3 linked regions of the Callithrix jacchus genome follow. The protein of the gene in region 2 interacts with the protein of the main gene of each other region in a pairwise test. Links are inferred from orthologs where the notes say so. Each region holds a gene or a part of one and is shown on either strand. Other genes may lie near its edges.

Region 1 (3,651 bases), on a different chromosome or scaffold from region 2:
CATAGGAGTTTGGGGCCAAAACCAGAGATAGTAAGCATTTGTCTGACCTTTCCTGTCTCAGTGCTGCATTTAATGCTTTTGGTTCCTTATTATAAACAACAGATACCAAATATTTTTTATAACAATGCCACTTTCCTAAAGACATCTCATTTTCTAGCTGTGATAATTTTTTTAAATGATTTCAAGTTGGAGAAAGGAACATTTGCACTCAGGATGAGGTTCAGTCTCAACTTGTTGTTTCACACATTCCCTGCTTATTCCTAATATATTTTGAAACATTCGCAGAAAAGGGTAGATGGCTTTGAAACTAATTTCTGAATAATATGTACTTAACTTCTGATTTCATTCTAAGAAGATATTTGTAGGGATGGTTTGAAAGGTTTAGAAAGGAAAGCAGAGAATAAAAGACTCCCTTTCTCTGATGACTGTGGTATCAAAAACATCAAAGTTACATGAAATGGTGAAGATCTGAGGACTGGACATCTCCCTGAAAATTTACTTTACAGATCATTTTGAAAACACCAATTGTGTTCAGAAAGAGTGCCTACTTTTTATGAAGATAAAATTTTAAATGAGCTAGTAGGTATCAAAAGTAATGGTTTGATGTGTGTGGAGCTCAGAGAAAATATTTTGTGTGGTACAGGTCAACATAAACAGTGAAAGATTTCATTCTGTAGGATAAAGCATTTCCTTTTTTTTGACAGGATCTGTCACCCAAGCTGGAGTGCAGTGATGCAATCCCAGATCACTGCAACCTCTCCCTCCAGGGTTCAAGTGATTCTCCTGCCTCAGCCTCCTGAGCAGCTGGGATTACATGCGCGCGCCACCACACCCGGCTAATTTTTGTATTTTTAGTAGAGACAGGGGTCTCACCATGTTGGCCAGGCTGGTCTCGAACTCCTGGCCTCAACCGATCCGCCCACCTCGGCCTCCCAAAGTGCTGGGATTGCAGGTGCGCCATGGCCACCGGCCAGCATTTCCTTCAAAATTGAAAAGTTAGAATTTATAATTTTCTGAAGCATGCAGATTTTTAAAGAAAAGGAAACAAAAAGAAATAGATACTGCCCACTCCACTTCCTTGCCCCTCTTTCTGACAAGTGCCGTCCTGCCTTCCCACCTTTGCCCTCACTCTAAATTTTCCAGAAGGGTAGGACTTCAGGGGCTACATGGGCATTGGTGACTGTGCACATGCAAGGGGTAGGGGTGGGAATGCAGCGCAAAGTGACAGGTAGAAGGGAAGAGAAAGTAGAAAAGGCCAAAGCCAAGGCCTAGAGTGAGAGGAGGCGGTGGTGGAGGATAGTGCAGACTCTCCCTGGTAACCAGAGGAGAGCAAACTCCAACCGCAGAGCAGTGATGCCACTTGTGGGCCCTCAGATTGGAGAGGACAGAAGAGTGACAGAGCGGTGCGCTCTGGGGCACCTCACGCAGACGGGAGTAGGGAGGCTGCTTTTTGCGCGGGCATTTGGCGGCGGGGGTGGGGGAAAGGGGGGAGATCCTGCTGCACTGGCCGCCCAAGTTGAGGGGCGAGCTCAGCGGTGACGCGCGGCCCTCACGTGACCCAGAGCTGCAGAGCTACGCAGCCTTCGGTGCAGTCGTCACTCGCGTCTGGCTACCAGCTCCCCGCTGCCCTGCGCTCGGCGGGCTGGCATCCGGCCCGGGGAAAAGCGGAGCAGGTAAGATCCCCGGGGTCCGTGCACCCCGGCCTGGCCGGCAGCGGCTCACGGACCCCCGCGACGGGCGCAGAACAGCGCAGGGGGTCCCCGCCAGTTTTCTCCACACCCCAACATTCTTGGGAACATAGAGGCCACCTGGGGTGGGCAAGCTGGAGCGGCTGGGGTCCTAGGGGCAGCAGAGCAACCAAGAGCGAGGGAAAACCACCCCCGAGTTCCTGCAGGAAAACGTTGAACACCGCGGGGGGGTGGGGCGGCTGAGGGTGGGGGCGCGGAGTGCGGGACGCGGGGCGCTGGCCGCAAGGAAAGCCCGGGCCCGGGGCGGGGAAGGAGCTGGGTGGTGGATAATCCTTGCTAGCGTTCCGCTGCAGGAGCCCCCATCCCCCCACCCCTGCCCATCTGCAGGTCTGCGAGGCTAAGTGTCCCGGCGGCGCACCTCGGGGCGAGAATCCGGAGGAGGAGGAGACCGCAAGGATAGGCCCAGGTCGGTGCGAGGGACGGTGGTGGTGCGGGGGTCCGAGCGTGAGGAAAGCCCAGTCTGAGACCCCAGCCCTCTCCACCCCATCCCCCCACTCCTACACCCGTCCTCCATTTTGCTGCCTGCGAAGCTCTGAGAAAGAATCTTGGGAAAGGAAAAATGGTGGGTTTGGGGGAAGGGAGGTAAGGGGAGAAAGCTGGAGGGAGGGGCTCTAATTGGAGGCCCCCTAGAGGACGCACGGAACTTCTAAGGTGGGAAAATATGAAATTAAATCCTTTGATATCAGGGCTCTGAATCCTGCTGGTCAGTGTACCAAGCATTCAGTCTCTCTCCTTGCCTTTGTCTTACTTGTGTTCAAAGAAAAACAACCAGAAAAAAAAAATCTCATCATGGCAAATATTCACCAGGAAAACGAAGAGATGGAGCAGCCCATGCAGAATGGAGAGGAAGACCGCCCTTTGGGAGGAGGTGAAGGCCACCAGCCTGCAGGAAATCGACGGGCACAGGCTCGCCGACTTGCCCCTAATTTTCGATGGGCCATACCCAATAGGCAGGTCAATGATGGGATGGGTGGAGATGGAGATGATATGGAAATATTCATGGAGGAGATGAGAGAAATCAGGAGAAAACTTAGGGAGCTGCAGTTGAGGAATTGTCTGCGTATCCTTATGGGGGAGCTCTCGAATCACCACGACCATCATGATGAATTTTGCCTTATGCCTTGATTCCTGCCATTTATCATGAGATTAATACTGTGATTCTCGCTGTTTTCCTTTTCCTTGCATTTTCCTAATATGCCTTTACTGATCCGTTTGCTGTGAACCCTATGTTATTTCCATGTGTCAAGTGGGTCTTGTATTGCCAGCTTCTAATTGGAGATTGCCTTTGCACTCAGTCTAAGTTTCTGTCAGCAGTAGAGTTTCACCCATGTGCATGGAAAAATTTAAAGTTAATAAAGCAATTTAAAAAACAATCTATACATTTAGTATTGTCTCATTAAAAATGTATCCTTACATATAACAGATGAACTAAAAAAAAAATCTGAGATTAAATACACCAGAGTGTTAATTGGGGCATATTTTTCTATGGTAATTGTAATCCCAGCAATTTGGGAGGCCAAGGGTCGGATCACTGGGTCAGCAGATCAAGACAATCCTGGTTAACACAGTGAAACCCCATCTCTACTAAAAAAAAATACAAAAAATTAGTTGGGCGAGGTAGCCCACGCTTTTAGTCCCAGCTACTTAAGAGGCTGAGGCAGGAGAAATGCTTGAACTCAGGAGGCGGAGGTTGCAGTGAGCCTGAGCTGAGACTGTGCCACTGCACTCCAGCCTGGGCGACAGAGCAAGACTCTGTCTCAAAAAAAAAAAAAAAAAGGTATGTGACACTTTTTTTCTTTTATTATCTGGAGTTTGAGAAGCAATGAAAATTATTTTTAAATGAGATTATGAATGGATTATGAATGTAGTCCAGATACATAACAATACTGCCTCAACAAATTTG
Region 2 (4,435 bases):
ATGAGCCCTCAGTAAGGCCAAGATGGGAGAATTGCTTGAGCCCAGGAGATCAAGACTGCAGTGAGCTGTGATTGCACCACTGTGCCTAGGTGACAGAGTGAGACTCTCTCAAAAAAAAAAAAAAAAAAAAAAAATTAGCTGGGTGTGATGGCATGTGCTTGTGAGTCTTAGCTACTCAGGAAGCTGAGGCAGGATAATCGCTTATACCTAGGAGTTTGAGGGTACGGTGAAGAAAAATATATGAGCCACTGTGCTCCAACCTGAGTGACAGCAAGACTGTCTAGAAAAAAAGAGGAAGGAATTTGTGGCATCAGCAGTTTGGAGAAGAGGGGCACTGTTCTACAGTGAGAAGAAACATTCTGGGGTTGCCAGTCCTGATGGGGTCAGGGAGCAACTGTGGCAAGTATGTGAGGAGGCAAGTATGCAAGAAGCAGCAGCTGCTTCTGATTCCCCACTATCCTTCCATCCCAGGGCACGTCTGGGCTGTGGCACCACCCGTCAGAGCCATCGGTGTTATGTCTGCCTGTGGTCTTGACAGTGTGATATGATGGCGGTTGTCAGCTTCCCATTGGCTGGCCCCAGTTACTCTTTCTGGAGGGTTCAGAAACTCCTAAGGGTCTTCCAGTTGGTCGTTGCACACTGACAAGTGAAACACCGCCACATACCCTTCTTTCTGGTGCCTACTCAGTCACCTTTATGGAAACTTCCCTGAGGTGAGCATGGTGCTGGACTGATGCAGGGAAGTTCTACCTAGTCCTGCCCTGAAGAAAGTGACCCTGCGTGCATGTGTGAGAGTGAGCGGTTCAATACTAGGCCTCCTATCTCCAGAGCAGACAAGAGGGCTGGATTAGCCAGGCATGGTGGTGCGCACCTGTAGTCCCAGCCACTCAGAGGGCTGAGGCCAGAGGATTGCTTGAGGTCAACCCAGGAGGTCAGGGCTGCAGTGAGCCAAGATTGTGCCACTGCACTCCAGCCTGGGTGACAGAGTGACACCCTGTCTCTCCCCGCTCCTTCCTTTCCTCTTCCCCCCTCCCCTACCCCAGCCAAAAAAAGGGCTGGGAGTGACTGAGGGCTAAGAGCTCCCCAGGTATTAGGTCAAGAAAGCTTCCTGGAGGTGGAAACACATCACTGTGAACAGTTATACACTGTAGTGTTAGCTGTTTGTTGTCCATCAGTTTCTCCTAATCACAGAGGAAAGATAAGTTGAGTTCTGGTGGTCAGAATTCTGGATGAATAGAGGGTGCTTTGGCTGAAAAAGCAAATTAGCCGTAAACCAGTGGTGAAGCCAGTTTTGTTCCTGGGATGAGCTGCCTCTTGCCTGTGCCATTTCTGAGACTGTGTTAACCCCCCATGCCTTGTCCTTCTCTTGGCAGTAATCCAGTCCCTCATAGCACTGGTGAATGACCCCCAGCCCGAGCACCCACTTCGGGCTGACCTAGCTGAAGAATACTCTAAGGACCGTAAAAAATTCTGTAAGAATGCTGAAGAGTTTACAAAGAAATATGGGGAAAAGCGACCTGTGGACTAAAATCTGCCACGATTGGTTCCAGCAGGTGTGAGCAGAGACCCCGTGCAGTGCATTCAGACACCCCGCAAAGCAGGACTCTGTGGAAATTGACACGTGCCACCGCCTGGCGTTCGCTTGTGGCAGTTACTAACTTTCTACAGTTTTCTTAATCAAAAGTGGTCTAGGTAACCTGTAAAGAAAGGATTAAAAATTTAAGATGTTCTAGTTCTGCTCTCTTTGTTTTAAAAATCACTGCTTCAATCTACTTCAAAACAATGGTGTTTCTTTTCTTGTCCAATTTTATCCAAAATCTTCAAGTTACATTTAGCCCATAAGGTTTATAAAAAAAAAATTGTATACCCCTTCTTCCCTACCTTTGCCACTCCCACTTTCTGGCAGTTTATTTTTCACTTACTTACTTCCCCAGACCCGGGCTCCACCGCCTCCACAAAGGAGAAGAGACAGCCCTGGCGGTCCTGGTGGCTTTTTCTCACATGTGTGGGACTGTTGCCCAGTGTGGGAGCTGGTTTAAATTCTGATTCCAGTTTATAATATCCTTTTTAAAAATTTAAAAATAAGCAAACAGCTACACCCCTCATCCAGTCCTTCTCCCCAGTTCTTGTGTGAAACTCCAGCTGATGTTACCACAGTAACATCAGTTAATCGGGCAAGCCCTTGTGTCAGTGTGTGACTGACTTCTGGCCTGGCCTGCACAGAGAAACCGTATAATCACAGGTCTGTGGTGGCCCTAAAAGGGGGGGCCTGCTAGTCAGGAGGATGCTGTGCACACTGTGTGTGATGAATCTTGCCAGAGGGCTCCTGCGGTCCCAGGTTGGCACTCCTCTGGTCCCAGGTTGGCACTCCTCTCTGCAGCCATTTTAGAAGATCTGCTGGTCCTTGCAGGCAAAGCTACAGCCAGAATGTCCGTTTGAAATTCCCAGCTCATCTGTCACCGAGCTCCATCTGAATGTGCCACGGAGCTTGCTCTCCACTTCCTCTGTGCAGCGGCCCCGCCACAGCCCTCCCTTGGCACACTTTGACCCTTTGCAAGATTGGAATTGGCAGGACTCAGCTAGTTAAAGCACCAGTCTGGGGTTGCCGGGGCCCCTTCTGGCCCCTTCCTCCAGAGCAGCCGGCCCAGCCCAGGAACAAGATGGACTTCCCTCTCCCTTTGGACTCACAGCCTTTGCAGAGTCAAGCTCCACGTGAAGCTCACTCAGTAATATCCTTTCAATGTGTTTTATATTGTTTTGACTGCCTTTTTTTGTAGAAATAAAAATGACCTTAGAATTTATCATCAGATAAACTTGTAAAGATTTGAATATTAATGTCTTTTCAAGGCATACGGGACTGTCACCAAACTAGTAGAGAATCTGTGTTGTTCTGACACCCCAAGGAAGCCGACGATCCAAATGCCGTGTCTCACCAACCCCACTTCTGCTACTGACGGCTTCCCTTTGTGGCTTTTGGGGGGGACTAGATCCTGTGAATAAGATGACTTAATCTTTGCTTTTTGTTTTAATTTTAATTCTATAATTTGAGATCTTTCCAGGGCCTACAGGCCTGTAAGACAGCTTAGTCTGGCCTGTGCAGAAGTGGGGAGTGATGGGCAGGTTAGGCGGCCTAACATTGTTCAGTTGTCCAGGCGCATGGCCCCTGCGGTGTGTACGTGATCTCAGCTTCTTTTGTCCTAGGTACGCCAAGGGCAGGTTTCTGGAGACTCCGGTGTGCCCAGGATGGCAAGGGCACCGGACTGGGTTTTTCCACATCTGTCTCTTCATTAGCAGAAAAGTGATGATGGATTTTATTTCACTCACACTCCAATTTGTAATAAAATGCCAAATTCTGTCAGAAGCTATCCAAACAAGCCACCATTTGTTCTTGTTGCTTCTCTTGATCCAGAAATGTTGCCATTCTTGGAAACTGTCCCATTGCTTCATATTTCTGCCAATGTAGCTCTGCCTGCCTGTCAGCCCCTCACTTCACTCTGCTCACCACGGGTGGATACCTGCGTGCCGGCAGCCCCTCAGGGACTCTTCAGCCCTGGCACTGGCACCCCAGGGTTGGCCCCATTAGCAGAGGCCTGGCTTTTGAGCCAGTGGGTGTCTCTTCCTCGGGCCTGGGGGGCTTCCTCCTGCCAGCTGTGCCCTCAGGGTAGGCTCTGAGCAAGCTGGTGAACAGCCCTGGCTGCTCCAAAACCAAAAAGCTGGGTCCTCTGGAGGGGCGAGCTGTGGAGCAGCCACCCACCGCTGCCCCGAGCTCACTCAGGAATTCACACCCGCCTGGTTCCTTGAAGTGTGCCGGGTCCTTCCCTCTGCTCCCTACTCCCCACCACGGCAGAGAATAGGCTGTCTAAGATGCTGTGATCCCGTTCTGCTGCCCTTAATAAAAATGCTCTCAGACACTGGTTAGTCGTGTGGGTTTCTTCCTTCCTGGGAGTGGGCAGTGGCAGGGGCCTATGCTCTTGGAGATGGGAGATGGGAGGGCTGGCTAGGGCCAGGTCCTGGGACTGTTGATCTCTCTACCCATTCCCAGCCTCTCCAGAAGAGGTACCTAGAGGTGTTCCTGCCTCCCTAAAGGGAAGGAGATGAGGTATAATCAATGAGAAAAGCCAGGGAGTCTGGACAGTTGGGGTCTGCAGAGGGTGCTCTTGGGTGTCTTGTGAGGGGAGAGGGACTGCCATCCATGGGTGCAGCATTTCCATTCGTGGGTCATCCTGAAGCCCCCTGGGAGTGTTATAATCCATGTTGAGAAGAAGCAAACCTGGGATCCCAAGAGGTCACAGAATTAATAAGGGTGTGCCTGAGGGTAGGGCTGGGCCATTTCCATGAATGGTGCCAGCCAGAAACACTATGAGTCTCCAGTACAGCCCACTGCCAGGGCGCTGCAACAGTGGTGCTGACTCAGCACAGGGCTCAGCCAGGCCCA
Region 3 (3,645 bases), on a different chromosome or scaffold from region 2:
CCTTGGTTTCTGCCCTCCAGAGCTCGCAGTCCAGCAGGCAGACAGACCCACAGAGCAGCATTTCTAGCAAGGGAGGATGCCTGCTGTCCTGGAGGCGCAAGCCTGGGGCAGGGAGGCCAGGAGAAGGCATCCCCAGTTTCCTGGCAGGCTCAGGAAGGCTGGCAGCTTGTCTCTGCCCTTGTGCTGTTGTCATTGTCAATTGCCACCTCTGCAGCTGACTGTCCTCTTGGGGCCTCCTGGCAGCATACCCACTCCAGCTCTCCACTTCCCTCTGTTCAGTCACTGGACCTTTGCTCTTTCCAGTGGATAGACAGAGCAGTGCCTCCCCTGACCGGGCAGAGGGCCTGTGAGATGATGGGTGTTGGCCAGAGAGCCTCTGGGAACAGAAGTGTCATTGGGCCAAGTGGAAATCATGATTCAATCAGTGTTCTTGGTCACGGGGCCGCCCTGGTCCCCGTTCTCCTTGCGGGCATCACAGCCTCCTCTCCTTGCCCTGCACTCATTGTCCCGACCTCAGGTTCAGTGTCCACCAACATGATTGCTACTTGATTGATTGTCGTTGTGCCCATGCAGACAACTGTCGGAGGAAAATGCTAACCTCCAGGAATATGTTGAGAAGGAAACCCAGGAGAAGAAGAGATTGAGCCGAACCAACGAAGAGCTGCTTTGGAAGCTCCAAACCGGAGACCCAACCAGCCCCATTAAACTCTCGCCCACATCTCCCGTTTACCGCGGCTCCTCCTCGGGGCCCTCCTCTCCGGCCAGAGTCAGCATGACTCCCAGATGACGCCACCACGCGGCCTGCGGGAGCTCCGGCTTCTCGCCCTCCTGTCTCCACCCTGAGGGAGCACTGACCCGGTGCTGCCGGAGCTGGCCCTGCACGCATGCTTCAGTAGCTGCAAATGCATCCAAGGCGCGTCCTCCTCTGATCCCCGTGTAAGACTGCCCTGGTGTCAGCACTTAGGAACGTGTAAACGGTAAAGTCTGATGTGCAAACGTTTTACCATAGTTAGAGCCAAAAGAAAGACACTTGCAATTGTTCTTGAGCAATGAACTTTCACTGCAGTATTTCAGGTTAGTTACCAAAAGCTCAGTTTTCAATATACATTGAATAATCTTTGTGTACTGCACCGGTATGTGTGTATATTTAGATACACATATATACACATGCGGCGGTTCCGAATTGCATTTTTTATGAAGTGCTGACATATTTTAGTGAAGGTCAGCAGTTTTCTAACTTGTGCCTAAGAATTATTGGGAAATGAAAATGCATTTCTATCTAGCTTCCCAGGAATATTTCTACCCAAAATAGAAAAAGGAAAAAAAAAAGGATACAGAGAAGAAGCGCCTTTCAACTCACCACCAAGTGGTACTCTCTTTACACGAACACCAGCGATTTGTGAATGGTAACTGCCTTTGGAACAATCAGCTTCTTAGTCAACGTGATGTGAGGTCACCATTCTTCCATTCGCAAGTTTTAATTATTAATACGCCTGCCATGCGTGGATAAGGGAGAGCCGTGGGAAACCCTAAGGGGGATTAGCAGTTTTTCAGATGTGACTTATGACAGTGACTCATCTCCAATAGTCTTGTAAACAAGTTTTGCTTTTTTCCTAAATGGCATCTCAGACTCGGTCATTAAGCTACTGTTGCACCCCTGGGAAAACATGGCAGAGCATGACGTTTGAGTGAGAGTGAGGATGGCCTTGGAGATGACTGCGCCCGTTCACGCTCCATCCTCATGAAGGAAATTGCTGCTAGGGTCTGTATTTTGACCAGGCACAGAGTGGGACCGTCACGCCAGCTTTCCATGTGGTTCGCTCTGATGCAATGCTGTAAATGATCAACTTGTTGAAATATGACCCTCAGGCCCCCACTTCATAGCAGTCCCCTTTTCAATTTGGTTCTACAGCTCAACCCCTTCACTGCACATTGAGGTGGCTCAGGGGTTCTAGCAGGGGCGTCTGGGAAAAACACCATTTTCTGTCCCGGGGGACCAGTTCTGAGCTGTGCTAGATCATCACACCACCACCCAGAAACCCGCTTGCACTTCCTTCTATGTGATCAGGCAATGCTACCGCTGACTGTGCTGCCATCTTAGACCCAGAAGGTTCTCCCAGACAGAGGAGCGCAGTGAAGCAGCCAGCCAGGCGGCACCACATCCTGGACTGGCACCTGTCTCTAAAATGGTAGAATTAGGATGTAAACAGTACTCATGTAGTGGTGTGGAAGATTAGGAGCATGATACACAAAAGGAAGTAGTTTTAACACATATGGTGATGATGATGATGCCCTTGTTTCCTTGTGTATGACAAAGACCCTGCACTATCTCTCTGAGGCCCCCCAGAATTATCCTGAGCACAGGCCTGTCTTTGAGCATGTCCAAGATGAGAAGAACCATGAGAGGGTCCTACAGGGGCTGGAGCCATGGAGCAGGGAAGAAACAGCCCGAGGATGAGGTCGGCTTGTCCAGGGCACGCCTACTCGGCACATGTGTGGCCAGCACAAAGACAGACATGGTCCCTGGCCCTAGCATGAGTCCAAGCTGGGCTCCCGGGCCTCAGGTACATCTCCAGCAAGCCTCCAAGGGTCTTGTTCCTTCTGGGGACATACACAGTAAATCCACATGGAAGCACCATTTCTCTGCTTTAGTGGCTCTGCATGATACTGTGATATTGAGTTGGGCATTCCATTAGAGTAGATCATGCCACATTGACTAAGTACACAATTATTTATTCTTGTAGCAGCCACAACCTGCAAACACAAATTCGGTTACAGCTTAGCTGTCCGAATTAGGAACTGCTTACATAGCCGCACCTGCTAAATGCAGTTACACAGCAATACCGACTTCCGTGTGATGCTAGGACGTGGTACAGTGTGTTAGGCTGCTGTGGTCGGAGTTGTAGCATTGTTAGCACTAAGTAATTCCTCATTAGGTGGACTTTGCTGAGAGCTTTGCCCTAATCCGCCCTGACCTTGGGTACTTGGGCTAATTTCCACATGGCCCTGGCTTCATTTTCGTTTGTTTTTGTGTTTTGTTTTGTTTTTTTTGTCACGGACACCCATCATGTATGGCCCTTCATCTGAGCCATGGGGTGGCAGCTGCTATGCCTCCTCCTCGATTCTTCCATCCCTCCACGCCATCAGGATTAGGATTTCTCTCCACATGGCATCCGCCTCTGTCCCCTTCCAGGCTGGAGTGACGTTTCCACGTTTGGATGCTGCAGCCTCCGCACCTGCCTCAGACAGACCCACCAGATACCACCGGTCTCTTCGTGGCGTTTGGAGATGCGTGGGCGGCCTGCCCCCACCCCTGCCCCTGGCCACCACATGCTGGGACAAGGTTCTGGTCGAATGTCAGAACAGGTGGGGATGGGGGCGGCCCCAACCGTGATTAGTTGAATGAATGGGGTCACAACATCTTTTTTCCTGCCCCTATGGTTTGTGTTGCATATTTGTGTTTAACTCTAAAGCCTATTAAAGTAAACTCGAGGGACTTTCTGTGATACCTGCTTGATGTAACTGGAGACCTGTCCCTCTCATGCTGGGGATTCCAGGCAGGGAGGCAAGTGGGGGTGTTTGCAGGCTGGACTCCTTTTTTGTATGTGCCAGGGTCGAGTGCTCGTCCATGAAAGAAATCTGGAG

Evidence for each region.
Region 1: the proteins of CCDC116 (region 2) and BEX3 interact in binary tests that used the Homo sapiens proteins (3 or more experiments, as listed by UniProt). The two-hybrid records come from large-scale screens. The link is inferred for Callithrix jacchus from reciprocal best matches to the Homo sapiens genes CCDC116 and BEX3.
Region 3: the proteins of CCDC116 (region 2) and MTUS2 interact in binary tests that used the Homo sapiens proteins (3 or more experiments, as listed by UniProt). The two-hybrid records come from large-scale screens. The link is inferred for Callithrix jacchus from reciprocal best matches to the Homo sapiens genes CCDC116 and MTUS2.

The regions. Positions count from the first base shown.
Region 1 is NC_133524.1:99,447,112-99,450,762, forward strand, and holds BEX3 (protein BEX3), read left to right. Parts: upstream 1-1,597; 5' UTR 1,598-1,673; intron 1,674-2,075; 5' UTR 2,076-2,154; intron 2,155-2,508; 5' UTR 2,509-2,537; coding exon 2,538-2,873; 3' UTR 2,874-3,121; downstream 3,122-3,651. UniProt on the Homo sapiens protein: May be a signaling adapter molecule involved in NGFR/p75NTR-mediated apoptosis induced by NGF. Plays a role in zinc-triggered neuronal death.
Region 2 is NC_133502.1:193,586,412-193,590,846, forward strand, and holds the start of CCDC116 (coiled-coil domain-containing protein 116), read left to right. Parts: upstream 1-1,528; 5' UTR 1,529-4,435. Other genes in the region: UBE2L3 (ubiquitin-conjugating enzyme E2 L3), read left to right, coding at 1,374-1,528.
Region 3 is NC_133506.1:148,710,496-148,714,140, forward strand, and holds the end of MTUS2 (microtubule-associated tumor suppressor candidate 2), read left to right. Parts: intron 1-573; coding exon 574-787; 3' UTR 788-3,496; downstream 3,497-3,645. UniProt on the Homo sapiens protein: Binds microtubules. Together with MAPRE1 may target the microtubule depolymerase KIF2C to the plus-end of microtubules. May regulate the dynamics of microtubules at their growing distal tip.